Linked DNA regions of Elephas maximus indicus. The protein of the gene in region 1 interacts with the protein of each later gene in a biochemical or structural test. Links are inferred from orthologs where the notes say so. Each region holds a gene or a part of one and is shown on either strand. Other genes may lie near its edges. The genes, in order: HDAC1, TOP2B, CDKN1A and PML.

The links.
Region 2: the proteins of HDAC1 (region 1) and TOP2B form a complex in vitro, tested with the Homo sapiens proteins (2 studies listed by BioGRID). The link is inferred for Elephas maximus indicus from reciprocal best matches to the Homo sapiens genes HDAC1 and TOP2B.
Region 3: the proteins of HDAC1 (region 1) and CDKN1A form a complex in vitro, tested with the Homo sapiens proteins (2 studies listed by BioGRID). The link is inferred for Elephas maximus indicus from reciprocal best matches to the Homo sapiens genes HDAC1 and CDKN1A.
Region 4: the proteins of HDAC1 (region 1) and PML form a complex in vitro, tested with the Homo sapiens proteins (2 studies listed by BioGRID). The link is inferred for Elephas maximus indicus from reciprocal best matches to the Homo sapiens genes HDAC1 and PML.

What each region holds. Positions count from the first base shown.
Region 1 is NC_064821.1:73,172,525-73,179,701, reverse strand, and holds the start of HDAC1 (histone deacetylase 1), read right to left. Parts: upstream 3,018-7,177; 5' UTR 2,936-3,017; coding exon 2,887-2,935; intron 1-2,886. UniProt on the Homo sapiens protein: Histone deacetylase that catalyzes the deacetylation of lysine residues on the N-terminal part of the core histones (H2A, H2B, H3 and H4).
Region 2 is NC_064845.1:13,895,194-13,902,768, forward strand, and holds the start of TOP2B (DNA topoisomerase 2-beta), read left to right. Parts: upstream 1-4,565; 5' UTR 4,566-4,660; coding exon 4,661-4,714; intron 4,715-7,575. UniProt on the Homo sapiens protein: Key decatenating enzyme that alters DNA topology by binding to two double-stranded DNA molecules, generating a double-stranded break in one of the strands, passing the intact strand through the broken strand, and religating the broken strand.
Region 3 is NC_064819.1:100,349,567-100,357,366, forward strand, and holds the start of CDKN1A (cyclin-dependent kinase inhibitor 1), read left to right. Parts: upstream 1-4,797; 5' UTR 4,798-4,888; intron 4,889-7,800. UniProt on the Homo sapiens protein: Plays an important role in controlling cell cycle progression and DNA damage-induced G2 arrest. Involved in p53/TP53 mediated inhibition of cellular proliferation in response to DNA damage.
Region 4 is NC_064831.1:64,098,087-64,105,918, reverse strand, and holds the start of PML (protein PML), read right to left. Parts: upstream 3,001-7,832; 5' UTR 2,918-3,000; exon of another isoform or gene 1,894-2,917; coding exon of another isoform or gene 1,700-1,893; intron 921-1,699; coding exon of another isoform or gene 708-920; intron 75-707; coding exon of another isoform or gene 1-74. Other genes in the region: STOML1 (stomatin-like protein 1), read left to right, coding at 1-74, 708-920, 1,700-1,893.

The DNA.
Region 1 (7,177 bases):
ATCAAGAGTATTGAGATCATAAAATCCTACAAACGGAAATAGCTCCAGCCTCAAGAGGGCCTCACCACTGCACAGTGATCTAGATTTATTTCCCTAACTCCCTCTTTCACGACAGCTAATCTCTCTCTTCAAGATTCCTACTCCAGCAGCTGTCCTCCCTCACTCTCAGGAAAGAGAATATTCTCTTCATCTAAGAACGCTCTCAACATTTTCCCTACCTTCTCCTCTTTAAATTTACCTACGTTTAAACTTTTCCTTGCCCCTCACCCTCTTGTCACAAAGGAACTTCCTCTTGAAGGCTCCCGTTTCCATCTTACCTGATCTCATCAGGAACCTCCATCACCACTAGCCACCAGCCTTTCTCTCCTATATCTTAAACCTCTCCCTACCGCCTGGCTTGTTTTAGAATTTGAACACGCTCAACTCCCAGCCACTACAACTCCCCTTTATCAACAACTGTCTCTCCTTGCTCCCTTAAAAAGGATTTAAAAATCCTTAAAAAGGATTTAACTTGATGTCTCCTCTTCACACATCCATTCACTCCTCAATTTACTACAATCTAGCTTCTGCCCTAGCCCCTGCCCAGAAACAGTTCTTGCCAACAACTGACTACTCCCTCTCTCCTTTCGTTTCTGTAACCCAGCACTTCCTGGTTCACGTACCTCCCTGGTCACTCCCTCTGTGTCTTTATTAATTTATGCAACAAATATTTATTGAAAGCCTACTATAAGCTACATGCTGCTTGTTTGTTTTAATATATTATATGAGAGCCTTCACAACTAGGGGGTTGGGGATACAGAGGTAGGCAAGGCATAACCCCTTTCCTTAAAAGGCTTACTGTCCGTAAGAAATATGAACAAGTTAACGGGCAATTTCAGTACACCGTGACAAGGACTATGACAGAGAAGTACAGAGCATGAGGGGCATTAGACTTCCCAAATATTCCTTTTCCTCTGAATTCCACCCTGGATCCTCTTTTCACCCTATACAACTTCTTGGGTGACTTCATTCTCTCCCATGAGCAAAATTACCATCTATGTATGCTGACAACTAAATAAACTATCTTATCATCCCTCTCTTCTAAACTGCAGATTAAAATGGTCAACTGCCTACTAGACATCCCTCTTTGGATGTCTCCAGGTATCTTAACAGATGTTGCTAAAAAAAAAAAAGTATCAACTGACATGGCCTTCTCCCACACCCACCATCAGGTTGCACAAGCTAGAAATTTGGGATCCTTGTTTTCTTCCTCATCCCTGTTGTTGTTGTTGTTGCTGTGAGGTGCTATCAAATCAATTTCAACTCACAGCGACCCCATGGGACAGAGCTGAACATAGGGTTTCCTTGACTGTAATCTTTACAGAAACAGTTCACGAGGTCTTTCTCCTACCAAGCCCCTACATTCATAAATTTAATTTATGCCCCAGAGCGATATTTCTAAGGCATAAATCTGATAGAATTTCAATGAATAAAACTTCAATCGCTCACAAATGCCCTCAGATTTAAGTCTAACTTCCTTGGGATAGCATGCCTGGCCCCTCGTGATCTGATCCCCATTTACTCCCCCAGCCTCCTCACTTGCAACCCTTCCCCCATTCCTGCTCCCTACCTTCTACATTCTGCCCCCAACTCTATGCCTCAGCCTTATATACATATATCTGTTATTTTCAAAGGTGCTGTCCTCTCTCTAAGGAGTCCTGGTGGCACAGTGGTGAAGTGCTCAGCTGCTAACTGAAAGGTCAGCAGTGCAAACTCACCAGCTGCTCCACGGCAGAGACATGTGGCAGTCTGCTTCCATAAAGATTACAGCCTTGGAAACCCTGTGGGGCAGTTCTACTCTGTCCTAGAGGGTCACTATGAGTTGGAATCAACTCAATGCCAATGGTTTTTTTTTTGGGGGGGGGGTCCTCTCTAGACCCTAAACTTGCTGTAATCTTTGCTTTCCCTGTGCTTGGCTAACTCCTGTTCTTCAGGTTCTGAGACAGCACCTCCTTCCCTGACTCCCCAGGCTGGGTTGGATGTCTCTTTTCTGCTCAACTCTGAGTTTTCCTTTATCCCAACAGTAATACTGGAGAGTAATTCTCTGTCATTGTCTATCCTTCCCTCTAGATTGTGAGCTGAAGATGGGAAGTGTGACTTGATCATCCCCATGGCGCCAGGACCTAAACGCTACCTAGTAGAGAGTAAGTCATTGACACATTTTTGTTAAAAGAAAAAGTTCGTTTTAACAGGTTGCATCCTTCTCCTTCCAACCCCGGGGGCCCCAACTCCCAGCAGCAATTGCAAGCCCTGTTCAGAGACTGGGGAGAGAGGAAGCTGGTGACCACTAGTTGGCGATTCTCTCAGGACTCTCACTGAAAAGGATGAATAAGGGACAGGGAAAGACCTGTGTATTCTCAGCAGGAATATATGTCCTTTCAACCTTCTCCATCAGACTACCTCCCCCCTCAGACTCAGCCTCCCCTCTAAAAGTACCACCCAAACCCAAACTCTACATCAGACTTCTTCAGAATCCTCCCAAGACTACCTCAGTCCTCGCCCAAACAACTCCCTCTGGCCTCAGCCTCCTCCCTCTGCCTCGACCTCCTTTCCCCTCTCAGCTTCCTCCCTCAGTTTTACCCGCCTTCCTCTCAGTCTCCTCCTTCAGCCTCGACCTCCTCTTCTCCTCAGCCTCATCCTCCTTCCTTTATCTGCCTCCTCTCTCAGCCTCCACCTTTTCCTGGCTCCTTCAGCCTCCTCCCTCAGTCGCGACCTCATTCGTCTCAACCTCCTCACTCAGCCTCTCCTCAACGCCTCAGCCTTCTCTCAGAGCTCCTCGACCTAAGCCTCCTTCTCCCGGGTTCGGCCCGGCCCAGGCCCCGCCCCCGCCGCGAGGACAGTGCTCACCGTCGTAGTAGTAACAGACTTTCCTCTTGGTGCCCTGAGTCTGCGCCATCTTGCTCGCCTCCCGTCCCTCCCGTCAGTCGGTCCGTCTGCCCTCCCGCCCGCGGCTCCGCGCAGCGTCCGACCCAGGGGGGAGAGGGCGGGCCTCCAGCCCGCTCCGCCCGTCCCCTCCCGGGCTCACCTATAGCCGCGCAGCCCGGGCACCTCTCCAGCCAATCAGCTTGAGCAGGGACGGGCCCGGAACTCGGCAGGGGGCAAGGGCAGCCCTGAGAGGCAGCCGAGGGCCCCCTGGGCCTGTACCAAGGTCGCGACAGGGGGTGGGGGAAACTGCCCGGGGACCGTACCATTAGTCCCGGGGGAGGAAAACAGATCTGTAAACTTCGCTGTCCCATTTCGTCGTTGGAAGAGTGCTTGGAGATCAGAGGCCAATTTTGTAATTTTACAGAGAATAAAATGAGGCCTATAGAGGAAAGAAGAAGTACAGCCAGAATGCTCCTTAGAAGCGAGGATGGCTAGACTTGTCTCACGTACTTTGGACATGTTATCAGGAGGGCCCAGTCCCTGGAGAAGGACGTCGTGCTTGGTAAAGTAAAGGGTCAAGAAAAAGAGGAAGACCCTCAATGAGATGGATTGACACAGTGACTGCAACAATGGGCTCAAACAGAACGAGTGTGAAGTTAGGGAGTGTGAGGTTAGCGCAGGACCGGGCAGTGTTTCCTTCTGTCGCTATGAGCTGGAACCAACTCTATGACACCTAACAACAACACAGAGGAAAAGTGATTTGCCTAAGGTCACCTACTAAGGAAGGGGCTGCACCTGAATTAGGACGCAAGTTTAGAGGAGAGAGAAATAAAATGACAAACTGTCAAGGGCTTGCTGGAGACCAAGTACTGTGCAATAGCTTTACCACACTCTTCTCAGTTATTCCTCATAATAGTTTTGGAAGCGGGCTTTTCATCCCCATTTTACAGATAAAGATAATGAAGTTCAGACCTCTGTGAACTGCTGAGTCACATGATTAATTGTTAAATTTAATTTTCACTTTTACAGAATTTTTGACTACCCACTGTATGCCAGAGGCTTTGTAACAAAGCGGCAGAAACCTCGCTGGTGCATCGCCCGGGAGGATTAAGGAGTATCTTCACATGGGGTCACCCTGGAGCAGAATCCACTTGAGGGCTACTAGTTTGTTTTTTTGGTTTTGTTGTTGTTGTTGTTAGGTGCCATTCAGTCAGTTCGGACTCATAGCGACCATACAGGACAGAGTAGAACTGCCCCGTAGGGTTTCCAAGGAGCGGCTGGTGGAGTCAAACTGCTGACGTTCTGGTTAACAGCTGAGCTCTTAACCACTATGCCACCAGGGCTCCCTAATGTTTTTTTGGCTTTAGGCAGGAGTAACCTGTATTGCCCTGTTCCCTAGATTAGAGTTTCTCAACCTTGGAGGTATTGGGGCCAGGTAATTCTTAGTTTTGGGGGGCTGTCCTGTGCATTGCATTGTAGGACATTTAGCAGCATCCCTGCCCTCTACCCATTAGATGCCAGTAACATCCTCCACCCCCCGGTTAGGACAACTAAAAATGTCTGCAGACATTGCCAAATGTCCCTGGGGCAGGGAAAGCTCAAACCACCCACCATACTCCCCTTGAGAAGGACTGCACTAGATCAATTCATCATCAACTGGCCATTGTTGAAACTGAAAGAGTGAAAAGCACTGTGCTGAGCTATGAAGATAACGACTACAACAACATTAATATTTAATGAGCGCTTACTATGTACCAAGCATTATACTAAGTAGGTAGCTTACCCTTAGTATTACAGTCAATAGGATACATTTTTATGCCTCTTTACAGATCAAGGAGTGTTTGGGGACATGTGTTCTCACTTAGGAACTGCGTTTGAACCATTAATTATAAAGGTTACAGGCGATCTAAGACTGGACCTTTCATTCTATTATAAAAATAACAATGAACTAGGGAACAAACTCTATTCCGGGGTCTGCGTTGCTACTTCTTAGCTGTTCTTGGGTGGGTTTACTTAACCTTACTGGACCTCCATTTTCCTGTTGAAAAATGGGGAGGATAAGAATACAAAGTTCACCAACTCTGTGGCGGTACACAGTGTCCAAAACAGGAGGAGGGTGGGAATCAGATGAGATTATGGGTGTGGCAGCACTTTATAAACAGGGGTCACAAACTCAGATGTCTACAGAGCTCAAATGTTGTTGTTTGGTGCCATTGAGTTGATTTCTACTCGTAGCAACCCCATGTGACAGAGTAGAACTGCACCTTAGGGTTTTCTAGAGTGCAATGTTTACAGGAGCAGATTGCCAGGTCTTTCTACAGCACAGCAGCTGGGTGGATTCGAACCCCCAACCTTAGCAGCTGAGTGCTTAACCCTTGTACCACCAGAGATCAGGTAGGTGATGTAAATGAGTGAAATTTATGTTTTTTTTACTGAGATGCTCTTTGTTTGCATGTTTTAAAAATTGGGCCATTTTTCATTTTTGTAAAGAAATATGCCTTTCTCCTACCTTTCTTTAAACACACTGCCATCTTGGGGTATCTTTAATTTTCTCACTTTTTAATGGAGATGTGGATACCAAAAAAAATTAGTTTTCCTGTTTATTATAAGAACAATGATGTTAAACACTTATTAACACTCAATTTCATTGTCTCAGAGCAAAAGGGAGGGAGAGCTCATACCCCACTTAAACGGGGCAGCCGCTACTTAGCTCCATGAGGGCCCAAAACGGTCAACTCTTCCTATCTTTCAAAAGAAAGCAGAAATCTGAAGTTTTATTCAAAACCTCCCCAGTTTTATACATTGGCTGTTAATGCAGTCAGTTCTCAATACAGTGGTAAGAGACATCCTTTTAAAATGTGATGTTGCTGTTGAGTCAAGATTCCGACTCATAGTGACCCCATGTAACAGAGTAGAACTGCCCCATAGGGTTTTCTAGGCTGTAATCTTAAGGGAAGCAGATCGCCAGGACTTTCTCCCAGAGAATAGGTGTTTGGGTTGAAACCACCAACCGTTTGGCTAGCAGCCCCACTTTTAACCGTTGTACCACTAGGGCTCCTTTTTAAAATGTAAGTCAGATCATATCATAGCTCTGCACAAATCTTTGCAAAGGCTTCTCAAAATGGCTCCTGCAAAGGGCACAAGGCCGAGGTCCTAGGATTTAATTCCCTCTCTCTGGCCACCATTACCGCTCTGAACATGCCAGGCAAACTCCTGCCTCAGACTATTCCCTCAGCTCCTTCAAATCTTTGCTCAAATGTCATCTTCTCAATGAGGCCTTCCCTGACCACCTTCTTTAAAATGGCAAACTTTTCCCCAAACATGGCATTCCTAATCCCCTTTGCTCTGCTCTGTTTTTCCCCTAGCACCTTGTAGCATATGATATAATTTATTTATGATGTTTATTGTTTATTGTCTGTCTTCCCTTACTAGAATGTAAGTTCACAAAGGCAGAGATTTGCGTGTGAGTTTTATCAACTGTATATCCTATGAGCCTAGAACAGTAGACGGTTAATACATATTTGTTAAATAAATTAACTAATTCAATTTTTAAAAACATCCTGAAGGTAAATCAAAACATATTCAAGGCCAGATGCAGCCCTTGAATTACTGGCTGTAAAAAAATGCAATTGCCCTTATACAGTGGGAGGGAGGGGATCCAATGACGCACTGGAGGCAATTCCAGGTGGGGATTGAACTGAATCCATGGGGGTAGAGGTGAGGTGTACTGTTCCATTTGAAGGGATTGGGAGAGCCCATACAGCAAAGTGTAGGCACGTCCCCTTGGCCCCCAGCATCACCAGGACTGGAAAAAAGTTCAGATGTTCCCTCAGGGTGTAACCAATTCAGGGTGATCCAGTTTCCCTCTTCTGAATCCCCACTCCACACCCCAAGGACGAGGAGATGGGAGTGGGGAACAGAGACATGTACCACATTCATCAACAAACAGACATTTATTGAGCTCCTGATGTGTGCTAGGCACCAAGGAGGAGCATAGAGAGGTATCAGACAAGGTCCCAGCCCTCTAGGAGTTCTTGCTCACCAGGGGAAAGAAGAGGGAGTGGGGCCAGAAGCTGGTGTCAGTCACGGGCCTCTGTCCTTTCTCTTGTGGTCTCAGAAAGTAGGACAGCCCAGAAAGGGACACCTTGGACAGGTGCCCAAAACATAAAGGCACAGGCCACACATGTACAAGACACATGTGAAGAGCCCACACAAGTACAGGACACATGCACAAAACACAAAATGTGTACGTGTTACATGTGACAGGATTCAT
Region 2 (7,575 bases), on another chromosome or scaffold:
CATTTTTCTCCTGTCCATTATGCTCTGTTGCGATCCTTGTTAGAGAAGTCTGTGACGGTAGCCAGGTACCATGTAGTTCTTCTGGGCTCAGGCTGGTGGAGTCTCTGATTCATGTGGTCCTTTAGTCCTCTGGGCTAGTACTTTCCTTGTGTCTTTGGTTTTCTTCATTCTCCTTTGTTCTGGGTTGGATGGGACCAATAGATGTATCTTAGATGGCTGCTCACAAGCTTTTAATATACTGAATGCTACTCACCAAAGTGGGCTGTAGAACATTTTCTTTATGAACTATGTTATGCCAATTGACCTAGATGTCCCCCAGTACTATGGTCCCTGGCCTCCAGCCCCAGCCACTCGGTCCCTCAAAGTGTTTGGATGTATCTAGGAAACTTCTGCGTTTCTGCTTTGGTCCAGTTGTGCAGATTTCCCCTGAATTGTGTGTTGTCTTTCCCTTCACCAAAGCTGTTAAGTAACTTTTAAAAGTGAAAATATACAGTACTTACAAAATATTTGAAGCAATTAAATTAGTCATGAAAAGTCAGTTAAGAATCTACTATTTACCATAGAAACACTGAAAACCAAAAGGTTACAGTGACAATAGCTTTCTTCCCTATTTGAGCTCACTTCTAAAGAAATAAAACAAACTAAAATACATTTACAACATTTAGTAGTCATTATCTGGACAACCATTTATTGAGTTTACTATAGACCAGACATAGCAAATTTCTCTTCTTACCCTAGCAACTTTGTATATATTAAGGATCCATAAAGACTAACACAATGAAAGGGAGGGGTAAAATAGCAGACATTGAATCCTGAATTCAAGTTGTAATTTCTTTAAACACTTCATAGGTTACAGATTACTTACCCTCCCCCCCGCCATACTGAATCTTAATGTTGGAACAATACATAATTTAACTGTAAACTCTATTGAAACTATGTCAGAGACCTAGAAGTACAATTTTGAGTTATTGTCTTCTTAAGCTATTAAGTAACTCACTCTATGTAAAGTGCAATGTGGAAAGTATATATTCATTAAATAGCAAATAAATGAATATAAAATTGCTTTCAGACCCAGAAGACTAGTTTAAAAACATATAACTCGGGGTGTGAGCTTAAGGCAGAGACTACATCTTTATCACCTTTTTGAATCCCTAGGTCCTGAATGCCTAACACACAGTCAGCATTAAGAACCAATCTTGATTGATTGCTGCGCTGGGTAAACATGAGACCTAAAAATTCTTAGGAAGAAAGACCTGGCAATCTACTTCTGAAAAATCAGCTACCGAAAATTCCATAGAGCACAATTCTACTCTAATATACATGGGATTGTCATGAGTTGGAGGCCCCTTTACGGCAGGCAACTGGTGGTAGTGGCAGGAAGATAAACTCTCATGGTAGATACTCAGAGAGCTTGGTTAAATAAAGGCCTTTATTTTTACAGTTTATAGAACTGACTTTGAGTTCTACAATTATGCATTTTGGCTGGTGCTTGCTATGAGGTGGAAATTAAGTCTTTAAATGAAATGTATTTAAAAAAAAACCCTAACAAAAGAGTGGTAACCAAACAAGACAAACCTGATATAGAAGCTTTTTAATGTGGCAATTATTGCTAGTTACTCTGTAAAGGAAAATCGCTTGACAGTACCCCAGAAGGGAAAGCTGAGCTCAAGTTGGGTATACTCAATTTTATCCTTAAGATAGACGTGTTAAGTCTGCAGCAAACAGTTAAAAAGACCAACAGCCCTTTGGGAATTGAGATACTTTTGATCCAGGTAACTTCTTTCACATATCAAGTAATCTTTGCTTTAAAATGCAATTTGCACGTGTAGTCAATAATCTTTTTATTTGCGATTTTTTTACATCAGTGTTTTCCATAGAATAAAACAAAAAACATTTACTAGAGGCTTTTTTTTTTTTCTTCAATACTTAGAAGGCTAAAGGGCTCCATAACACCTCACCTAGGAGGCAAGTGAAAAGATAAACATTATTTTCATTAACTAGCTTATTTGACTTTTGGGTGTTCTTGTTTTAGTCATTTCCAACTCTGAAGCTACAGAGCTTTGAAAATGGAAGTTTTAAGAAGGAGAGAGCTGTAGTATTATATACCTTGGCATCTTCTTATCGTGGATATCTTTCTTTCTTTTTTTTTTTTAAGCCACAGCCTTTAAAATTATTTACCCTTTTTCAAACATAAGATATATGTATACTTTGGAGATGTAAAGCCACATTAAGTACAAGAGTAAAAATCTTGGTTTTAATGAGGAACAAACAAGGTCTTAAATAACATGGCCTTAAATACCAAGGCCATGGTTACTTAGCTGGTTAGGTTCAGAGCCCAGATTAAACCCTGGTCTGTCTGACTTTCAAGTTTGCACCCCATGTTCAAGGTAAAGAAAGGCGTCAGTGTCTGAACCAAAGTCCTCAATGTGCCAAAGTGAATGGCCACCAGAGAGCTAATTAAGAAAAACTATGTTGAAATTATTTCCATGTTTCAGAGTTTCCCACCTCTAGACTCAGAAGGCAGTTGAAAGATGTGACCCTAGACATTTTTGTTTTCCCTTGAGAGGAAACACACAATTGGGAGGGAAGTTCACAAAAACACCTTTTCATAAAAGCAGTAATACTGTTTTCATCTTTTGAAAAACCTCACTTGACACAACTCTTTGGCAGCACTCCATGCCCTCAAGTACCCATTCTGGTGTTTTCTTAGGTATTGCCTTGAGATAGTTAGCTCTTTTTAGTCCGTCTCTTCAGCCAGGTTATAAATGGCCTGAAATACCACAAAAACCCTTGTGGTGGAGTCAATTCCAACTCATAGCAACCGTGTAGGACAGAGTAGAACTGTCCTACCGGGTTTCTAAACCTGTAATCTTTATAAAAGGAGACTACCACATCTTTCTTCTGGAGTGGTGGAGGGCTGGTGGATTCTGACCACCGACTTCTCAGCAGAGCAACCTAGCGCTTAACCCTGTGCCACCAGGGCTCCTTGGCTGGAAATCAGGGGCTCTGTTTTTATGTCGAACTCATCGCAGAGCCTGGCACAGTGTGGCAGAGTGTGCGCCCAATAAATACTTGTAGAATGGAAGGCGGGGTGAATTTCAGTAAAGCCATCTTCCATCTGCCAAAGACTTGGGTGCGACTGTATGGGTAGATTTTCATTCCTAGAAAGCTTTAACCTGAATGAAATCATTCCTTGGTGTGCATCTGAAAATTTCACAGGAAAGGAGTTTAATAAGCGTGCCCTCCTAGAGGTAGCTGGCACAGCTTCTAGGTAGAAAAGTGACAGGGACTTCTCTGCATTGTTCACTGCAGAGAGAGAGGTCAACAAAGAGTAGACCCAGAACACGCACCCCACCCTGCATTCTTTCCCTGGAACGTGCTCTGTGAGTTCTGAAACATTCAAGTTCTTTAAAGGCAGTTTTCTTGAGACTGACCGTGTCCCCTTTTGGGGGGAGGGGAGGGGGGAGGGGACGGAGGTGGAGGAGGGGCGGGATTCATTCGACAGCAGCGTCCATTTGGGACCTTGGGGAGGCCGCATCAGGGGGACCCTCTTTGCTCCAGTGGTCTACAACGCTCTAGCCTGCGGTTTACAACCGCTCTTTAAAAATACTTTCCCTCTGGGACGGCCCCCGACTTCTTCCTGCCCGTCCTCCCTCCCCCAGCCGCCCCGGGCCAAGGAACGCCTCGTCTTCGCGGGCAGGTCTTTGAGTGAACGACACGGTCGAAGGATTACAGTCGCCCCGAGTCCAAGTCGACCCTTTGGCTCTGTCGCCCTCCAATGACCCCTGACAGCGGCCCCTGTTCCCCCTCAAACGGAAAGCCCGCAGCCACACACACAAACAAAAAACCCTAAGTCTGCCTCTCGGTTGCTACCCGCAATGACGTTTCCCTCTCGGGTCCCGCCCCTCCGCGGGCCTGGAATTTCGGGATTGGCCGAGAGGCAGGGCGGCGAGGCCCGGATTGGGCGGCCGGGCGCTGAGTGACAGCGGGGGCGGCCGCTGCGGCCGGCGCGCCTTCCCTTCCTCCCTCCCGGCTGCGCGAGCGACTGTGTGTGAGGGGTGTTATGCCGGACGCGAGGGAGGCGGCCGTGGCGGCGGCGGTGGCGGTGGCGGCGGCGGCTCTGTTTATTGTCCCCGTCGGCGGGTGGATGTGAGGAAGCCGGGGCTGCAGCGCGGCCGACGCGGGCAGCCTGTGAGGCGCGGCGGCGGCGGCAGCGAGCGCGAGCCCCGAGCCGCCGGCCTCCGGGGAGCGTGAGGAAGGACAAGGAGCCTCCGTCCCCGCCACGTCCGAACGCGCCCCTCGGGCCCCTCGGCTGGCTGCGGCGCCCGCGAGCGAGCGAGCGACGACGACGACGCGGAGGAGCAGGCAGCGCTGCCGCCCCGCCGCCCCGGCCTCCTGCGCTTCCTCTTCCTCAGCCGCCGCGCTAGGCCCAGGCGACGCGGCCACCGCGCCTCGAGTTTGAGGGCGGCGGGCGGCGCGGCCTCCTCGGCGGCTCGGCCGGGCGTCCGCCCCGGGTCTCGGCGATGGGGCGCGGGGGCCGGCGCGGCTAGGAGCGCGGCGGGGAGCCGAGCGGTCGGTGCGGAGCAGCGGGGCGCGGCGGCCGGCGGGGCGGAGGGAGCGGCGGCCGCGGCCTCGGGGCCTGGGAGCCGGAGCACCCGCCATGGCCAAGACGGGCGGCGGCGCGGGAGCGGGCGACGGGGCGCTGAGCTGGGTGGTGAGTAGCGGGCGGCGCCGGGGCGCCAGCTGGGTGCGCTGAGCTGGGTGGCGTCGGGGCGCCGGGTCCTTGGCGGGCGCCGGGGCGGGGGTGGGGGGCGGGGAGCTGGCGGGCCCCGAACTCGCGCCCCGCGGGCGCAGCCCGCCCCTTTCCTTTCTTCTCTCTCCTCCCTGCCTCCATGGAGGCTCAGGCGCTGGGAGCCTACTGTGCACTTGCAACTTTGGGGGCCAGACCGTGGACGTGACCTGGGGCCCCGCTCCCCCCTTTTTCCCTCTCCCCCCGAGCCTTCCTGGGCAGTCGGCTGTGAGTGCACGGGGAGGGCGACAGTGCTGTGTGTCCCTGTGGTCAGCATTTTCCCCGAACGTGGTGCACGAAAATCCCGGGGAAAGGGGTGTGCGCGCGCCTGGATGCTCAGTGCAGCCGTGCCTGCAGCGCTCGTCTCTCTCGGAAGAATGGTTTTGGCGGGGCAGCAGTTTACACCTGGATTGGGAAAGCCTGTTTGAATGGAAAGCGCACTGGGGATTGCAGTCTCTCAGCAGTGGCTGGACGGTAGATGGTCCAGTGTCAGGCTGGGATTATGAACGGAAGCGCTCACCTGGGTCAGCAGCGCAGGTGAAACGGGTGGGGGCTGCACGGCGTGTGCTGGGAGGTGACTGAAGGGGCTGAGCCCTGGAGGGAAAGGATTTCGGCGCCGAGGTCCTGCTGGGGAGTCCAGGTAGCGGAGGGAAGACCTGGAGAGGCCCGATTCCCACGGCAGATCGATAATTCGCTAGCATTTCACTTGCTCGGCCCTGAGTTCAGGCCAGGGTCATTTCCTACACGGAAAACCTAGCTCAGCCAGCGGACTAGGTGCCTAGCAAGGGGTGGGGCTGGGGGTGAGGGGGAGGACACGTTACAGTACTCAGATTTTTGAAGCCCACCTCCTTTTTTAAACAACCCAGGGAAACTTTTCTATTGGCATTTTTGTTATTTTCTTCATTTTCCCTTTACTTGGGTGAGGTTTAGGCGAGTTGACTGGCAGCTGTTCCTTTTTGACAAGTGTGTCGGTTCTTTGTAACTCTGTTGCTCTCTGTTACTCATAGCAGAGAAAACATTTTAACCATTTTTGTTGGAGTGCCAAGGTGCCTTGCAAAATAACTTGCCAGGCTTATTGTCCATCTTTAGATTACTCCAATAATGTAGTATGAATGGACGAGCTAAGAGGGATAAAATGTCAGATAATTAATTAGTGGTCCGTGTGGACGTGGCCACGGCGGAGCGAGGAGAGGGACTGCGTAAGTGCAGAAGAATGATTTTAAATATTGATGGCCCTTACTGAAATCAAATAACATCTGAAAATGGAGGTAGCCAGATGGCATTGTGAGTTCTCATTACTATTTGGAAGTGTTAAGGCCTGATCAGTGTTTCCTCTGAGGCTCTCTGATTCTGTATTGGTAAATATTTTGCTCCGAGATCACATTGTTTGGCTTTAACATCTGGTATTAGTATTTTAATTTACTGTGATTTAACTTTGCAGATGAGTAAATGACCACGTTTTCTTTCAAGCTCAATAGGAATCTTTCATTTAGTGAAATAAGAAATTTAGTGAAACTTGGAGGGTCTCATTCAACATTAAAAAATTTCATTTGAAACTAAAATTGATTCATTGATAAAAGAAATAGATACATGCTTATTTTTATGTTCGTATTTCTGTTTTTTATAAATTATGAAAATATCTTGAAAACGAATTATTTTTAAGTCAGGGTATTCAGGTTCAGAATATCTTCTGTGTGGACAGCTCAGTGGTTAAAACCATGAAAAAAATTAACTTTTAAAAAATATAGATGTATTTGTTACCATTGGCTACTTTTAAGTGAAACTAAGTGTCTGAACTTGTATTAAAACTCATGATTGGTGTTCATATGATCTTGTAATCTGCTGTGGTTATCTTAATTTTTTTATATTGAATTTCTAATTTGCTGGAAAGGTAGAGAAGTCTGTTTTATATGGTTCAGTTACATGGCAACAACAATAAAGTATTAATAGAACTATTGCATATTAGTAAATTAATAGACTTGAAGATACTGTTGTTTTTAGTGTTAAGACTAGAACTTGAGATGCATTTTTTATTTTCTGTGACTAAGATTGGCTATTTGCCAATCTTGTATTCTATTGAACTTCTAAAATTCTATTTTCAAAAGATCTGTTGAATAACTTTTATTTTTTGGAGAACAAGGAAAGCATTTCTCTTTTGACCAAGTTCTGTAAAAAACCCAAATTATTTGTAGAAACATCAAGGACTAGGGTACATATGAAAAATTTTTTTCCTGGAGGTTTACCCCATGCCCATTTCTACTGAATCAAAGTTTAAACATAAGTATATAGTTCTGTTTTAGCAGGATTAAAAGATGGAATTTTGATGGTTATGCTAAATAGTTGATAAGGCAAGGAAAAAAATAATTTAATTTTGATCTAATAAAGAATAACTTTTAGCTCTAATCCCTTCCATATTTTGTTTGGATTTTGGAAGTATAAAATATTACTAAAAAGTTAAACATTTCAGACTTTAGTCATCTTTTTGACATTGGGAGGTAAATCTTGGCTTTATTCCTATGTGGTATTTCTTTTTATTATAAAACTAATTATGGGTAATATGAGAAATAATGTAAAACGAAAGAAGTACAAGTCATATAATCTTTTATTTATATTTTCTTCATATTGAATTAGAAGTTTAAAAAAAAGTCACTACTACAAGTTCACTTTAAGATTTGATGTTTCCTTTAAATCTGTAAAGTCAGATTATATGAACATCTTTATATCCATATATACATCATTGATCATAGACTGGTTTAATTTTTTGGGAGGCAATGTAGTGAGGTAGT
Region 3 (7,800 bases), on another chromosome or scaffold:
AACCAAAACTGAATCCGTTGCCATTGAATCGATTCCAACTCACAGCAACCCTATAGGACAGAGTAGAACTGCCCCATTGTGTATCCAAGGAGCGCCTAGTGAATTTGAACTGCTGACCTTTTGGTTAGCAGCCATAGCACTTAACCACTAAGCCATCAGGGTTTCCGGGAATGGTGCAGTGGGAGTTTTTTTTTTAAATGAATGAATGAATAGATGGATGACTATTAAAGAGAGGGCTCAGAAACAGGGGCACTGAAGCCTCACCTCAGAGTGTAGGCCAAAAATGGCCGTTGCATAAATATTCACTGAGTTCCAAGCTGAGGCTGCTAGGCCTAGAAGGTACAAAGATGAATAAAATATGAGCTCATACCCCCACCCCCAGGTTCCCAGCTCAGAGGATGCACTCAGCACGAAGACCAAGCATGCCAGCACAGCGTAGTTGAGAGGCTTGCACCCCAAGAGCGTTGGAAGCCAAAGGGAGCCCTAGAAGACCTCACCCCCAAGGGGCATGTGGGTTGGATCATGAAGGATCAGAAGGAGTTCAACAGGCAGAGAAAGGAGTGGAGGTGAGGTAGACTGGTCAGGGAAACCCATACCAGGAAGAGAGAACACTATGATCAAAGAGACAGAGGGGCCCTTTGCTCCTCAGGTGGCCTCTGTCCATAGCATTTCCTTGCCTCTTTCTAGTCCCTAAAGGAACTCTGGTGGTTACAGCGCTTGGCCGCTAACTGAAAGGTCAGCAGTTTGAACCCGCCAGCTTCTCCGTGGGAGAAAGATGTGGCAGTCTGCTTCTGTAAAGATTACAGCCTTGGAAACACTGTGGGGCAGTTCTACTCTGTCCTATAGGGTCACTATGAGTTGGAATCGACTTAGCGGCAACAGGTTAGTCCCTAAATGGTTAAGTCATTCACATTGTGCTGTGCCACCCAGAACCCCTGAAGGACCTGGTCTGGAGTGTTGGCTGTTAATACAACTGAGTCCTTCTTCAGGAATTGGCCTCAGATAAGGGAGTTCCCTTGCCACCCCTCTGTCCCCACAAGCCACTGGTCACAGTAGCCCCCTTGCTTCAATTCAGCAACTCTGCAGAACCACCCTAGTTCTGGAGCTTCCAGCGGGATCAGCCTTCACCACAGCCCAATTCCTCCTTCTGCTGGATCCTGTTTCCTTTACACCCTCATAGGTGTTGATCCTGAATGCACTTTCCAATAAACCTCCTGCATGAAAATCTCTGCTCAGAGTGTGTTTTCTGGGACACATACCAAAGACACTCACAAAAGTGCAAATGATTACTAAACTCCAAGGGATGCCTTCTCTCAGAGTGTTTGTCCTATAGCAGTAATCATAATTAAAATTTGTGAGGTGATTTCACTATGCTGAGCACTTTTCCTATACGATCTTATTTAACAAAGAACCAAATCTAAGTCAAAGGAATTAATTTCTAATGGCGAAATTTCAGGCTTTGGCTAGTAAGCTAGGGAGACTAGAAGTATTTGTATGGCACAAATTCTGTCACAATTTCTGTGCCTCTCTGTATGGTCAGCCCTGACCCTTGTGCTGGTTGCATAAAGCCCCCAATCAGGTGAGGGTGGGGGCTCCCAATCTCATTCTTCTTAAAAAAAAAAAAAAAGCAGGGCTTACTTATTCTGCTTGGTGGTGTAATATCTCTGCTCTGCTTCTTCTCTGGGGTCTCGCTTCTTGGGACTCTGTGTGGAGCTGAATTCCTCTGAAAGCTGGCTGTCCCTGTTTTGGGACTCCCCAGACCTCTTCTGAGAAATGGTGACATTATCCCCAGCACTTCCTCTCCTTTCCTGGGTAGCTCCTGCAGCCACCATGGGGCCCTCCTCACATCCTCTTTCCTCAGGCCTGTGCTTTCCACCTTTCCCTTCCATTATCTGGAGCCTGCTGGGTGGGGATGTGGGGTTGGCCTAGACCCTCCTGTCTTCTAGGCTGAGACTCCTTCCATCCCTAAGCTGCTTGCCTCCTGGGGAGCATGCCTGGGCAGCAGGCAGTGGCCCCCATCGGCCCTCTGGCCCTTAGGGACATGTCCCAACAAGTTGAGCCATGGCATAGAAGAGGCTGGTGGCTGCTCTCTATTTTGGGGTGGGGAGGGTGTGGTAGGAGATGGGGAACCCCCAGAGACCCCAGAGAGATCTTGGCCTTCTTGGTCAGAGTCTTCCTTCAGGGGCCTGAGTTTCACTGAACAAAAAATGTGGTTTGCAGTACACTCCAGAGAGATCTTGGCCTCCTTGGGTCAGAGTCTTCCCTCAGGAGCCTGAGTTCCTTGGAACAGAAAATTTGGTTTGCAGTAGATTTCTTGGGATTGGTCTGGGAACTGGCACAGCTGTGTGTGTGTGTGTGTGTGTGTGTGTGTGTGTGCGCGCGCATGCATGCATGCAAGGTGAGAATCAGCTCTTGTGACCTCTAACAACCTGCTCCTTTGCCCTCTTCAAGACAGAAATCCTCCCTTGAAGGATGTGCCTGGCTACATGCTGCAAACATTTTTTTTTTTTTTTTTTTTAACGTACCTAGTGCTAGACACTTAGTAGGTGCTTACTAAATATTTGCTGAATCCCATTATGGTGGTGGTGGGGAGCTAGAAGCTATTAAAAAATTCACTTCCCAATAACAACAACAAAAAGAATTATTTCATTGTGAATCTCAGTACCACAAAACTGTAAATAATTCAATATAAGCCTTCATTAAAAAAAAAAAAAATTCCAAAGTAAACAGACAGATAATGTCAAGTCTATCTGAAATGCCCGAAAGCTGGGGGGATTCAAGGCAGCTGGGGAATGTGCTTGTCCTCTATTGGACATTTGACAACCCAGCACTTGAGTGGTGTAGGTGGAAGGGAGGTGGGGGCAGGTGCTGGGGGGTGGCGGCCCTGGGACCTCAACTTCTCTGGGACCCTCCTGAGGTCCAGCGACAATTCTGGCCTGACTTGAGGTCCAGGCAGAGTTAGGGGTCTGGGGCAGCACCCTCCCACTTCTACAGGGGCTCCCATCCCAACACTAGAGGAAGAAGCCTGTTCCCTGAGGTCAGCTGCTTTAGAGGAAGAAGACTGGGCATGTCTGGGCAGAGATTTCCAGACACTCAACAGCCCGAGATGTCAGTAATTACAGCCCTTCCAAGAGCCTGGATTCTATTTTTTAATGGGATTTCTCTTCAGATTTACACTCCATTCTCTGCAATATTAAAAAAAAAATTTTTTTTTTTTGTGGTAAATAATAGGTAACGTTTGCCATTTCAGCAGTCTTCACATGTACCGTTCAGTGACACGTTCATCATGTTTTATAATTTTTTTTAAAGCACAAACTGCAAATGCATCAGGGGAAGGAAAGAGGCAAAGGTGGGGTGCAAGGGGGGCTAAGGTGTGAGGGTGAGTGGGAATGGCTGGACATCTCACGTGGCTCTGTATCTGTCAGAAACACCAGCGGACACTTCCAGAATTGTCTGGCTTTAATGTTACCTCAGTAAGCTGCCTGCAAATGAGGGGTCCTGCAGAGTCCCTCCCCCCACCCCCCATTCTAGAGTCACCGAAGCAGAGAAGGCAGCAGGCAGAAGCATGGCAGGAGGTAAAAAACCTGAGTTCCAGCCCTGCCATAGCCATTTATTTATTGTGTGACCTGAGTTAAATCACTTAGATTCTCTGGGCAACAATTTCCCCCACAGGAAATGTGAAGTGTGTGTGGGAATATCCAGGAGATAAATCACCAAATCCTTCTCCCCTTCTTTTTCTTTTTTTGATTTGGTAGTTGTGGCTAAGAATATACACCGCAAAACATATACCAATTCAACCACTTCTACACGTACAATTCAGGGACACTGATGACGGACTTTGAGTTGTGCAGCCACTCTCACCCTCCATTTCTGAGTTGTTCCCCCATTAACATAAACTCACTGCCCTCTAAGGTTCCTATTGAATCTTTCCAGTTGCTGCTGTCACTTTGATCCCATATAGGTACTTCTTAAAAGTGTGTAATGACCTTCTGCCCTTCTTAAACATCAAGTCTGCTGTAATCAGTGGTTTCTTCTGTTGAGGTGAGAAGCTGGGAGAGGAACAGGCGGGGAGGTTGGTTCCATTTTCCGATTTCCTGGAAACCGTGCTGGTCCTTCTGAAGTGTCCCCAGTTCCCTCTTTCTCTGAGGCACTTGACAAGCGCCAGCTCTGTACCCCTTAGGTTTACTGGGCCTGTTTCCTCATCTTGAAATAAAGCAGATCGAATTCTGTTCTGGCCTCAAGGATGCTTGTTAGGGTGTCTGGTTGCCCCAGCGTGCATCAAGGAGAGGTGGTCTAGTGAGAGCTCTGTGGGAATTGTGGTGGGATAGTGAGGCTTTTCTGGGAATTGCAAAGTGAGGTACATAATTTTTATTATTTATGGAATATTATTTATTAATGCCATTCCTTGTGATCTTTTCAGCTGTGATGGGTAAGTCCTTGCCTGGAGTCCGCCAGCGGGGGGCCAGGAAGAGGGAGGGGGGGTCCTCCTAACTACGCCGTCCTGGTCCTGCGAAGCGCCCACTCACTCTTCAACTGGAAAAAGCCGGGTTTGTGGCTCAATTCGTGGAGAAATGTGTAAAGCGCGCAAGCCCAGGAGCGACGGGACGCGCCTCCTGCAGCTCCCGAGGTTCCGAGACCTACAGTTGTCCCAGGGCCTGGAACCCCGCCCAGACTCGGGCGCGGAGCCGCCCGGGCCCCCGGGGAGGGCGGTCCCCGGCGCGGTGGGCCGAGCGGCGGGTCCCGCCTCCCGAGGCGTGCCTGAGCCGTGGCTATATATCAAGGCTGCGCCAGGCAGCACCAGCTGAGGTGTGAGCGGCTGTTGGAGTCAGTGGCTTGGACACCCGGAGCCGGGCGCGGATTCGCAGAGACAGCGAGCCACTCAGACGAGGTGAGGGAGCCGCGACAGACAAGAGCAGACCCTGGGCCGGCAACTCTGAGCTGAGTGTGTCTGCGTGTGTGTCCGGATGTGTCCGTGTGTGTGTGCTGCGTCTACAGTTGTTTCTGCGGCAGGTGAATGACAGGCGTGTGTCTGTGCGCTGGGCTTTGCGCGCACGAGTGTCTGTAAGTGCGTGTGACGGGGGTCGGGATGTATTGGGGCCTCAAGGCGGGAGGGAGGGCACCAGTACTGGGGATCCTCTGCCCGCTCTCTTCTCCCTGAAACTCTCCTGGAGCTAGGAAAGGCGTGGGTGGGGCCGTCCTCGGAGCTTGCGGCTGTAGGGTAGCCCCCCTGACCCCCCGTGCCGCTTGGCTCTCGTCGTGGTCCGGAGGCCCCGGCCGCCGCAGGCCGTAGGGGGACGCCGGGGGAGCGCTGAGCAGGTTAAAGTGGGCTCCGCCCCGGGGCCGCTCTCTGGCTTTCGGACCCAATTCGTGCCGCCAGGACCCAGGCCCGTGAGGTCCAGATCCCCGACGCCGCCGTGCCCGACACCCCTTTGGCGCTGAGGTCAGCGCGGGCTGTGTCCCCGGCCCTCGGGAATGTGCCAGGACACGTCCCTTAAGAACAAGAGAGGAGGTGACTCACGGTGACAAGGAGACCCCGGGGAGCGGGCCGGGTAAGATCAAAACCCCGCCCGGGCGGGGGGCGGGCGCCCCAGAAGCCTTCCGCCCCTCCGCAGTCTCAGTCCCCCATCAACACAGTGACCTACTTGGCTGGCACAGCGTGTTCCCGGGGAAGCCGGGGCACTGGAAGGTCCAGGACCTGGGGTCCGGCTCCTGCCGCGCGGCGCGGGTTCTCCGTGGGAGAAGCGCAGGGGTCTCATCTACCCTTTTCGCACCGCCGTCGGGAGAACCCCGCCCAGCCTGTCCTCGGGTTGGGACGCTGGACTCCGGAGCTGGAGCCGGAGCTGAGCCCACTCCAGGGTGGGCGGTGGGAGGGGGCGCATCTTTGCGGAGTGGGAGGTGGGAGGGGGCGCGTCTTTGCGAGATGGGGCTTCCGAGGGTTCAGATGCTGTCCAAGGCCTGTGTCTTTCGGGACTCGGATCCAGGGACTCGAGGCGCCCCCGGCATAGCCCCAAACTCCCTCTCCGAGGGCCAAAGAATTGAGCGGGGCAGAAGGGCGAATCGCGCTCGGGCGCAGCCACCCAGGGCGGACCACGGACCACTGGCACCATCAGAGTCACTTGGGGAGCTGTCTTGGGCGCCCGGTGGACCCTTGCACCCTTCTCGTGCGGAAAAGTATCTTGTTACTCGGTTTGGTACTTTGGGGCACCGGGGCAGCTCCCTCCCTGTCTCCCTCCCTCCACGTAGCGATTCGGGGAGGACTTTCGAGCGGTTTTATTTTCGTTGTTCCCGTCTATTTTTATTTTCCAGGGATCTGACTCATCCCGTGCTTTGGGCGTGGAGATAAGGTGGAGGGCCAGATCTTGGCGCGCCTGTGCGTGCGTGCGTGCGTGTGTGTGTATGTGTGTGACAGAGACGGCGCGAGAACGCGCGGTTTCCCAACAGCGGCGGGGGTTTCGGAAGCCGGGCCCGCTTAGAGTGACGTGTTCGCGGCCCCCGGCCCCTCCCTCGCAGTCTCCTCCTTCCCTACGCCAGGGTGACGCGCAGCAGGAGTGGAAGGGGGGTTTTGGCTGGCGGGAGCGCTTTGCAGGAAACTGACTCATCACAATTTGTCCCTCTCGCTGTCTAAGGCTCTGCCCACGCACCTCCCACCCTGCGCGTGATTTCCTGGAGATCAGCGCCCCCTCCCGGCCTTGTCTGGAATAGCAAACATCCCTTCCAACGGAATCAGGCTTCGCCCGCCTTTCCTTCCCGCCGCTACCCCTGGGCTGCTCCAACCTTGTTCTCCCCATACCGCCACTTAAAAAGAGTACCCCATTGGTTCAACAGTATTTACTGAGCGTTTACTATTTACCTGGGGATTAAAATATGGCTGAAGTGTCACACTAGGGTTTGGTCTAAGACACGCAGCCCAACGAGGGAAGCTCTTCTTCTTTGTAAAACGAGGGTTTGTGTTTTTTTCTGAGCTGGGAGTTATGATACTGGGCGTGAAAGCAGATTTTAATGGGGAAGGAGAGGCCCATAAGAGCCATCAGGCAACGAATGGTAGAAGGGGAGAGGGATCCTGCGGGACCCATCTTCAGCTCCTAGAAGCCGGGGAATATCCAGCTCACCGTAAAGCGGGCTCCTCCTCCTTGTGCCATTGGGTCGTGGAGACCCAGAATCCCCACTCCAGCCTTTCTGTGCGCCTCGCTGTCACCCCAGGGGAGCCCATCAGACCCTCTTGGGGAGCTGCACCAAACACTTGCTTGAATCCAGTCTGGATTAAGATGGTCTAGGGAAGGAGCACCACCAATGTGTGCTTTGAGAAAGCCCTCCAGGTAAGCCTGCTGGACATACCTGGTTAAGAAACTTCAAAACTGGAGAAGGAGCAGGGTGTAGGGGCTGAGAGCATAGAACTCAGGGCAGACACGCCTGGATTCAAATCTACTTGTATCCATTGTAACCCTGGGTATATTACTTAACCTCTCTGAGCCTTGGTTCCCTTTTCTGTGTAAAGGAGCTAATATATACGCATGTGCTCGGAGGATTAATATTTGTAAAGTGCTTAGACCAGTCCCTGGCACATAAAAATATATAAATAAATCTCACCCCCTGCCCTGAAGAGAGCCAACAAAGATTATTCGATGGATTTGCCCACGGCACCGTTGCCCCCTTTGTGGGACAGAGGCCCTTTCCTTTTTAACTGTGTGATTTCGGAATAAGTTTCATAGCCTTTTGAGCACCTGCCCTTTACACCCTCCCCAGTGAGCTGAGACTTAAAGTTGTTTCTCCCTGTTCATTGTGAGAGGTGGGGGGTGGGGT
Region 4 (7,832 bases), on another chromosome or scaffold:
CCAGCAGCTGGCCCTTCACTTCCTGGGAGGAGGCATGTCCTCAGTGGCAGGAGGTGCCCTGCCCCCGGGGCCAGGTGAGGAGCCCTGCGAGGATGGTAGGGGAGAGGAGGCCGCTCTTCATGTACCTGGGCTGAGAGAGGAAATGGAGACTTTTTGTGGGGAGAAGGGTGTTTTGTGGGAGGTTGGTGCTAGCCAGGGCTTCTCTAGCTCATACAGCACCTTTGATGGAGACAGAAAAAGGCATCTAGTTTGGGCATATGGGGCCCTGCACCAGAGCACTCAGCTTGGCAAGCAGAGCACAGCTCAGGCTGCACTTGGCCACGTTCTTCCTTAACCAGGCACACTTGTGCAGGGCACACCCTGCACAGCTGTTCAAGCAGCCCTGATGCTAGAGCTGACCAGAGCTAAGGCAGTGAGTAGAGTCCAGGTGTCTGGGAGTGTGGAGGCCTTTGGGAACCCCCATGGGAGGGAGGCAACAGGGCCCAGAGGGAAGCTGGGAAACGAGTCTTATACTCAAAGCTGGAGTAGGTTGAGCTGGCTGGGGGATTAGGGCTGGAACCCAGGGGGTGCTTCTTAGCGGAGAAGGAAGTTGATAGAGGCCTGAAAGGGCTATGAGGGGAACTGCCGCACACAGGTACTGAGGCCACAGTGCCCTGGCCTTGGCAGCACACTGACCTTTGCTCCCTCCTCTCTGCCTCCCTCCCCAGCAGACACCTTGGAGATGGTGAGTGAAGTTGAGCTGCCTGCCCCCAGTGTCAGCGCTGGGCCCAGCCTGAAGCAGCCTGTGGCTGAGGAGCTGCTGACTGCTCTGCAGCCCTTCCTGTCTGAGGCCTTGGTCAGCCAGGTCGGAGCCTGCTACCAGTTCAATGTCATCATGCCCAGTGGCACCCAGAACATTTACTTCCTGGACCTCACCACAGGTGCGACAGCCTGCCTGCCCTTCTTTCCTACCCAGGTTGCTTGTAGGTCCCCCCACCCCCAGTGGTCCTCTTTCAGACTGTCTCCTACTCCTGCCAGCAGTTTCGGGTGAACTCAAATGGCAGTCTGGGGCTCAGATGCCATTTTCCGACAATGATTGTCCAGGCTCGGCCCCCCACCATTGGCAGTACAGCTCAGAGGGCCAGGCGTCCCACACCAAGAGCCTGCGTGTGTTGTGGCCCTACTGTGTCGCAGGCACTGTGTGAAGCACTTCTTGTGTGTTATTGCACCTGATTCTATGATTTAGGGATTGCTATCATCCCCGTTTCACAGATCAGGAAACTGAGGCTCTGAGCGGCCACACAGCCAATAGGACTGAAACCCAGGGTGTTAGCACCTCAACTCCAACCACTGCTTTCCACCTCTCCCAGTCCAAAACAAAAACCAAACCCAGTGCTGTCAAGTCAATTCCGACTCGTAGCGACCCTATAGGACAGAGTAGAACTGCCCCCTAGAGTTTCTAAGGAGCGCCTGGCAGATTCGAACTGCCGAGCCTTTGGTTAGCAGCCGTAGCACTTAACATCTTTGGCACCAGGGTTTCCCCTCTCCCGGTAGGACGTGATAACCCTGCAGTCCAGCAGTTCTGAAACAGATGGAGGGAAGGCTTTTTGTATTGCGGATAAGATCCATTTTACAGAATAGGTCAGCAGGGGAATTCAGCAGCACCCCTCCCCCATCCCGGTAATCACCCCACTAACACTCCGTTTTCTTTCCCCAACAGGGCGAGGGAGAGTGGGACGTGGGGTGCCTGATGGCATCCCTGACGTGCTGGTGGAGATGACCGAGGCGGACCTGCGGGCCCTGCTTTGTAGGGAGCTACGGCCCCTGGGGGCCTACATGAGCGGGCGGCTGAAGGTGAAGGGTGACCTGGCCGTGGCCATGAAGCTGGAGGCTGTCCTCAGGGCCCTGAAGTAGCAGCAGCCTCAGCTGACCACCTGTAGCCCAGCCTCGAGCTTGGTGCCAAGCCAGGAAGGCCTCTTGGAGGAGGAGGCAGCACTGTTGATGCACCTTGGAGAATTGAGGCTCTCTGGCATTTCAGGCCCAGCTGGGGCCAATGGACAGAGGCTGGCAGACAGCGGAGGCCGAGAGAGGCCAAACCAGGCTGTTTTGCCCTTCTTGCCTGCAACACTGGTTCCCTGGACAAGCCTTTGCCCATCCCCTGAGCTGGGTACATAGTGTGGATGGGCCTGCCCTGCTCTGCTGCCTACCTGGCTGGGAAGCCAGGACCACAGAAACAGCCTGGCAGCAGCTGCTTTAGCCTTGAGCGAGGGGCCAGACTGTGTGGCTCCGGCTCGGAATGCTGGGGGAGCTCAGAAGGAGGGGTGCAGAAAGGGTTGGGGGAGGGAGAAGCCAGGCAGCCACCGAGAAGCACTCACTACAGCGGAGGCACCTGGGGATCCGGGCTGGGCCCGCCTTCCTGGGTGCAGCCCAGGCCCAGGCTAGTTGGAGGGTGGGGATGGGAGAGAGCAGGGCCTGCTCCTCCCCTGGCCCTGCTCCTGAGGATAACCTGATTCATGTACCGGCCGTCTTGCATGCGTGATGGGCCGGGACCCAGGGCAGCATGAAGGGAAGCCCTGCTGTTCCCGTGCTTCTAGCCAGAGGCCTGAAAACCTCCAAAAGAAATAAATGTGTTTACAATCAGAAGAGAGAAGGAGTGGAGACTGGATGTAGTGGGAGTAGCCTAGGAGGGTCCATGAGGCAATGCCCCTACTGCTGGGCCAGGGCCACGGGGGTCCAGATACCCCTGCTGTGCCCTTCTTTGCTGAGTGACTCCAAGTGTTGACTCCTCCCACAGGCAGGAGGGTGGGACAGGGGGTCACTCTGTTATCCCTCTTTATGGTGGAGGTACAGGTTTACTAGGAGAGAGGGGCATGGGCAGGTCAAAACTGGGCCCCCAAACACCTGGACCTAATGAGGGGTAGGGCGGGGGGCTCATCACCTTAAGGAGAGGGGCTGGGCTGCAATCATCCTCTCCTGGGCCACCCAGGGTCACTGCTTGTTTCTCCACTGGCTGAAGGGGTGCACACAGATAGACGTTGAGGCCTGGCCCCAGGGGCCCAGTGGGTTTCTCTTCAGTGCCCCAGCCCCAGAGGCCCCAGAGATGGGCCTCCGACTTCTCTAGTCCTGAGAAATGAAGCTTACTTCCTGGAGAGTGTTACGGAAAAAAACAGACAAAAATCAGAGCTAAATGAGTGTCTCCTTTGAGGAACAAGCTCAGCTTGTCCTCTGGAATCAGGCCTGGCCCTCCCAGGGCGTGCTCCCTCTTTGTCCAGGTCAGGCTGGTCCAGCTTGCCCCTCTGCTCCAGCCATTGCCTGGCACTGCGTTTTCCCTCCTCCTGTGTGTCTCCACAGTGCCTGAGGCACCTCCCTAAGGCCCAGCGCAGACCTCACGGCCATGGGGATTCAGGCTTTAGCTCTAGGGCGCCCTCTCCCCAAGCCTGGAACATCTACAGGTGTTTCCGGGCCCTGAAACTTTCCAGCTGGGGTTGTCTGTGCCCTCTAACCCTTACTGGCCCCTTTCAGCTGGGACTAAGTCTTCCCTCCAATCCCCAGCAGCCACACTCCCATGCCCCTTGAGGCCCCGTGGGGATGGCAGTGCTTGGTCCCTAGGTGTTCCTAATGTTTGCCTGCCTTGCCTGAGGGACCATGAACTGCGCGAGTGAGCGATTCATGTATTCCGTCATCCCTATTGCACACAGCAGGCACAGCGTTAACAGGAAGCCCCGCAGATCCTCACCAGGACAGCCGTGCCTTTGCCGTGCCTTTGCCAGAAGATAGCACTTACCCCTCCAGGCTGAGCCAGGGGAGACAGGAATGATGAGATCAAAACCTAGGAGAAACTGAAACTGCTGAGTTTCTCTGTGGGTTTGAGAAGAGCAACGTAACATTTAGGGGAAACTGAAACTTTTCTGGATATTTGTGTGGGTGGTGGCACAGCGGTTAAGCGTTTGGCTGCTACACAAAAAAAAGGTCAACAGTTTGAATCTGCTAGCTGCTCCTTGCAATCCCTATGGGGCAGTTCTGCTCTGTCCTACAGGGGATCGACTCGAAGGCAATGGGTTTAGTTTTGGTTTGGTGTGGGTAGAGGACAGGACCTACCCAGCCAACATGGGGTGAGGAGGGTGTGGGAGAGAGTTCATTTCTTGGCCAGGGCAACACTACAGGGGAAAGGAGTGCATAGGCTCAAGGACCCTGGGCTATGGAGGATTAAGCAAACCTTGGAGTCCACAAAGGGTGAGGACTGCCATGGAGGAAGGGAGCATGAGGGTTATGTCAATCACAGGAGTCTTCCTGGAGGAGGTGATGCCTGAGACTTGAGGCTAAGTGGGCCATGAGAGAAGAGGAGGGGAAAGATAGTCGGCCAGAGGGGAAGGCCCCTGCAAGGGTACAGGCGGAAGAGGCACGTGGGCACTTTCAATTTGGGGAACTGGAACCTAAAGTATGAGAGGGATGTGGGCAGGGATTTTGGGAGGGGACAAAAATAGTGGCCATTATCGGGTGTTGTATGTGTCACTGTATTGGACTCAACATTGCCTATATATTATTTTTTTTCCTCAAGACAACCTGGTGAATAGTACTTTTAAAATGTTTATGCTATGTTGATGTGTTAATATATATTAATATTGGTGTTTTTTTGGAAACTCTATGGGGCAGCTTTACTCTGTCCTCTAGGGTCGCTATGAGTCGGAATCAACTCGACGGCACTGGGTTTTTTTGTTGGTTTGGTGTTATTTTAAAATAATTATTTAATTTTTAAATAGCTAATACATTCACATGGCTCAAAAATTTTTTAAAGATTAAAAAGGCACAAAGAAAATGATTTCTCACGTTCCTGACCCCATCCAGACACTTCGCACACCTTCCTCCAAACAAGTACCCCCTGCTATTAGCTTCTTTGTTATTCTCCGAGAAGTTTTTTTTTTTTTTTTTAATCCATTGTCTTAGGCTGGGTTCTTTGGAAATGCTAAACGAGTGAAGCGCTTCTCTCTGTCTTAGTTATCTAGTGCTGCTATAACACAAATACCACAAGTAGATGGCTTTAACAGAGAAATTTATTCTTTCGCAATCTAGGAGGCTAGAAGTCCAAATTCAGGATGCCAGCTCCAGGGGATGGCTTTCTCACACTGCTGGCCCTGGAGGAAGGTTCTTGTCATCAGTCTTCCCCTAGTCTAGGAGCTTCTCAGCACAGGGACCCCAGGTCCAAACGACACACTGTTCTCCTGGCTCTTGTTTCTAGGTGGTATGAGGTCTCCTTGTCTCTCTGCACACTTCTCTCTTTTATATCTCAAGAGAGGCCGATTTAAGACACAACCTAATCTTATAGATTGAGTCCTGCCGAATTAACATAACTGCCTCTAATCCTGTCTCAACACCATAGAGGCAGGATTTACAACACATAGGAAAATCACATCAGCTCACAAAATGTTGGACGGTCGCACAATACTGGGAAACATGGCATAGCCAAGTTGACACACATTTTTTGGGGATACATTTCAATCCATAACACTCTGTATATGTAAGTATAAGGAAGAAATGATGAAGTAAACTGAACAGAAGATTTCAAATGGTGGCGCAAGAAAAGTAAAGTATTAAAATGACGTGCAAAGAACTGGAGATAGAAAACCAAAAGGGAAGGACACTCTCGGTGTTTCTCGAGCTAAAAGAGCTGAAGAAAAAATTCAAACCTTGAGTTGCAATAATGAAGGATTCTATGGGGAAAATATTAAACGACGCAGGAAGCATCAAAAGAAGATGGAAGGAATACACAGACTCATACCAAAAAGAATTCGTCGATGTTCAACCATTTCAAGAGGTGGCATATGATCAGGAACTGATGGTACTGAAGGAAGAAGTCCAAGGGACTCTGAAGGCATTGGCAGAAAACAAGGCTCCAGGAATTGACGGAATATCAATTGAGATGTTTCAACAAATGGATGTAGCGCTGGAGGTGCTCACTCGTCTATGCCAAGAGATATTTAGACCAAAACTAAACCCATTGCCTTCGAGTCGATCCCCTGTAGGACAGAGCAGAACTGCCCCATAGGGATTGCAAGGAGCAGCTAGCAGATTCAAACTGTTGACCTTTTTTTTGTGTAGCAGCCAAACGCTTAACCGCTGTGCCACTGACTGGAAGAGACCCATATTTATGCCTATTCCCAAGAAAGGTGATCCAACTGAATGTGGAAATTATAGAACAATATCATACGCAAGGAAAATTTTGCTGAAGATCATTCAAAAACCGCTGTAGCAGTATATCGACAGGGAACTGCCAGAAATTCAGGCCAGTTTCAGAAGAGGACGTGGAACCAGGGATATCATTGCTGATGTCAGATGGATCCTGGCTGAAAGCAGAGAATACCAGAAGGATGTTTACCTGTGTTTTATTGACTATGTAAAGGCATTTGACTGTGTGGTTCATAACAAATTATAGATAACATTGCGAAGAATGGGAATTCCAGAACACTTAATTGTGCTCATGAGGAACCTTTACATAGATCAGGAGGCAGTTGTTTGGACAGAACAAGGGGATACTGATGGGTTTAAAGTCAGGAAAGGTATACATCAGGGTTGTATCCTTTCACCATGCCTATTCGATCCGTATGCTGAGCAAATAATCCAAGAAGCTGGACTATATGAAGAACGGGGCAGCAGGATTGGAGGAAGACTCATTAACAACCTGCGTTATGCAGGTGACACAACCTTGCTTGCTGAAAGTGAAGAGGACTTGAAGCACTTACTAATGAAGATCAAAGACCACAGCCTTCAGTATGGATTGCACCTCAACATATAAAGAAAACAAAAATCCTCACAACTGGACCAATGAGCAACATCATGATAAATGGAGAAAAGATTGAAGTTTTCAAGGATTTCATTTTACTTGGATCCACAATCAACAGCCATGGAAGCAGCAGTCAAAAAATCAAAAGACGCATTGCATTGGGTAAACCTGCTGCAAAGGGCCTCTTTAAAGTGTTGAAAAGCAAAGATGTCACTTTGAAGACCAAGGTGCCCCAATCCATGCCATGGTATTTTCAATCGCATCATATGCATGTGAAAGCTGGACAGTGAATAAGGAAGACTGAAGAAGAATTGACACCTTTGAACTGTGGTGTTGGCAAAGAATATTGAATATACTGTGGACGGCCAAAAGAATGAACAAATCTGTCTTGGAAGCAGTACAACCAGAATGCTCCTTAGAAGCAAGGATGGCGAGACTGCATCTTCCATACTTTGGACGTGTTGCCAGGAGGGATCAGTCCTTGACAAAGGACGTCATGCTTAGCAAAGTACAGGGTCAGCAGAAAAGAGGCAGATCCTCAACGAGGTGGATTGACACAGTGGCTGCAACAATGAGCTCAAGCATAACAATGATTTTAAGGATGGTGCAGGACCTGGCGGTGTTTCATTCTGTTGTGCATGTGGCCGCTATGGGTTGGATCCTACTCAACGGCACCTAACAACCGCAACAACGTATATATATATATATGTATATATTTCTATCTGTACATGCATACATATACATACAGAGAGAGAGAGAGAGATTCATATCAAGGAAGTGGCTCATGCAGCTGTAGAGTTTGGGAAATCCTAAGTTCATGCGTCAGGCTGAAGTCTTCTCCTGACTCATATAGCTGCAGGGGCTGGTGAACCCAAGAGCGGTAGATCGGCTGCTAGCTCAAATCCCAAGAACTGAAGGTCAGATGAACAGGTGCCAGCTGCAGGATCCAGAGTAAGCAAAAACCCGAAAGCCTTGCCGGAAATTCCGCCTATATTGGATGCAGGCTACACCCCAAGGGAAACTCCCTTCCAACTGATTGGCTACTCACAGCAAATCCCTTCGTGGAAGTGATCAC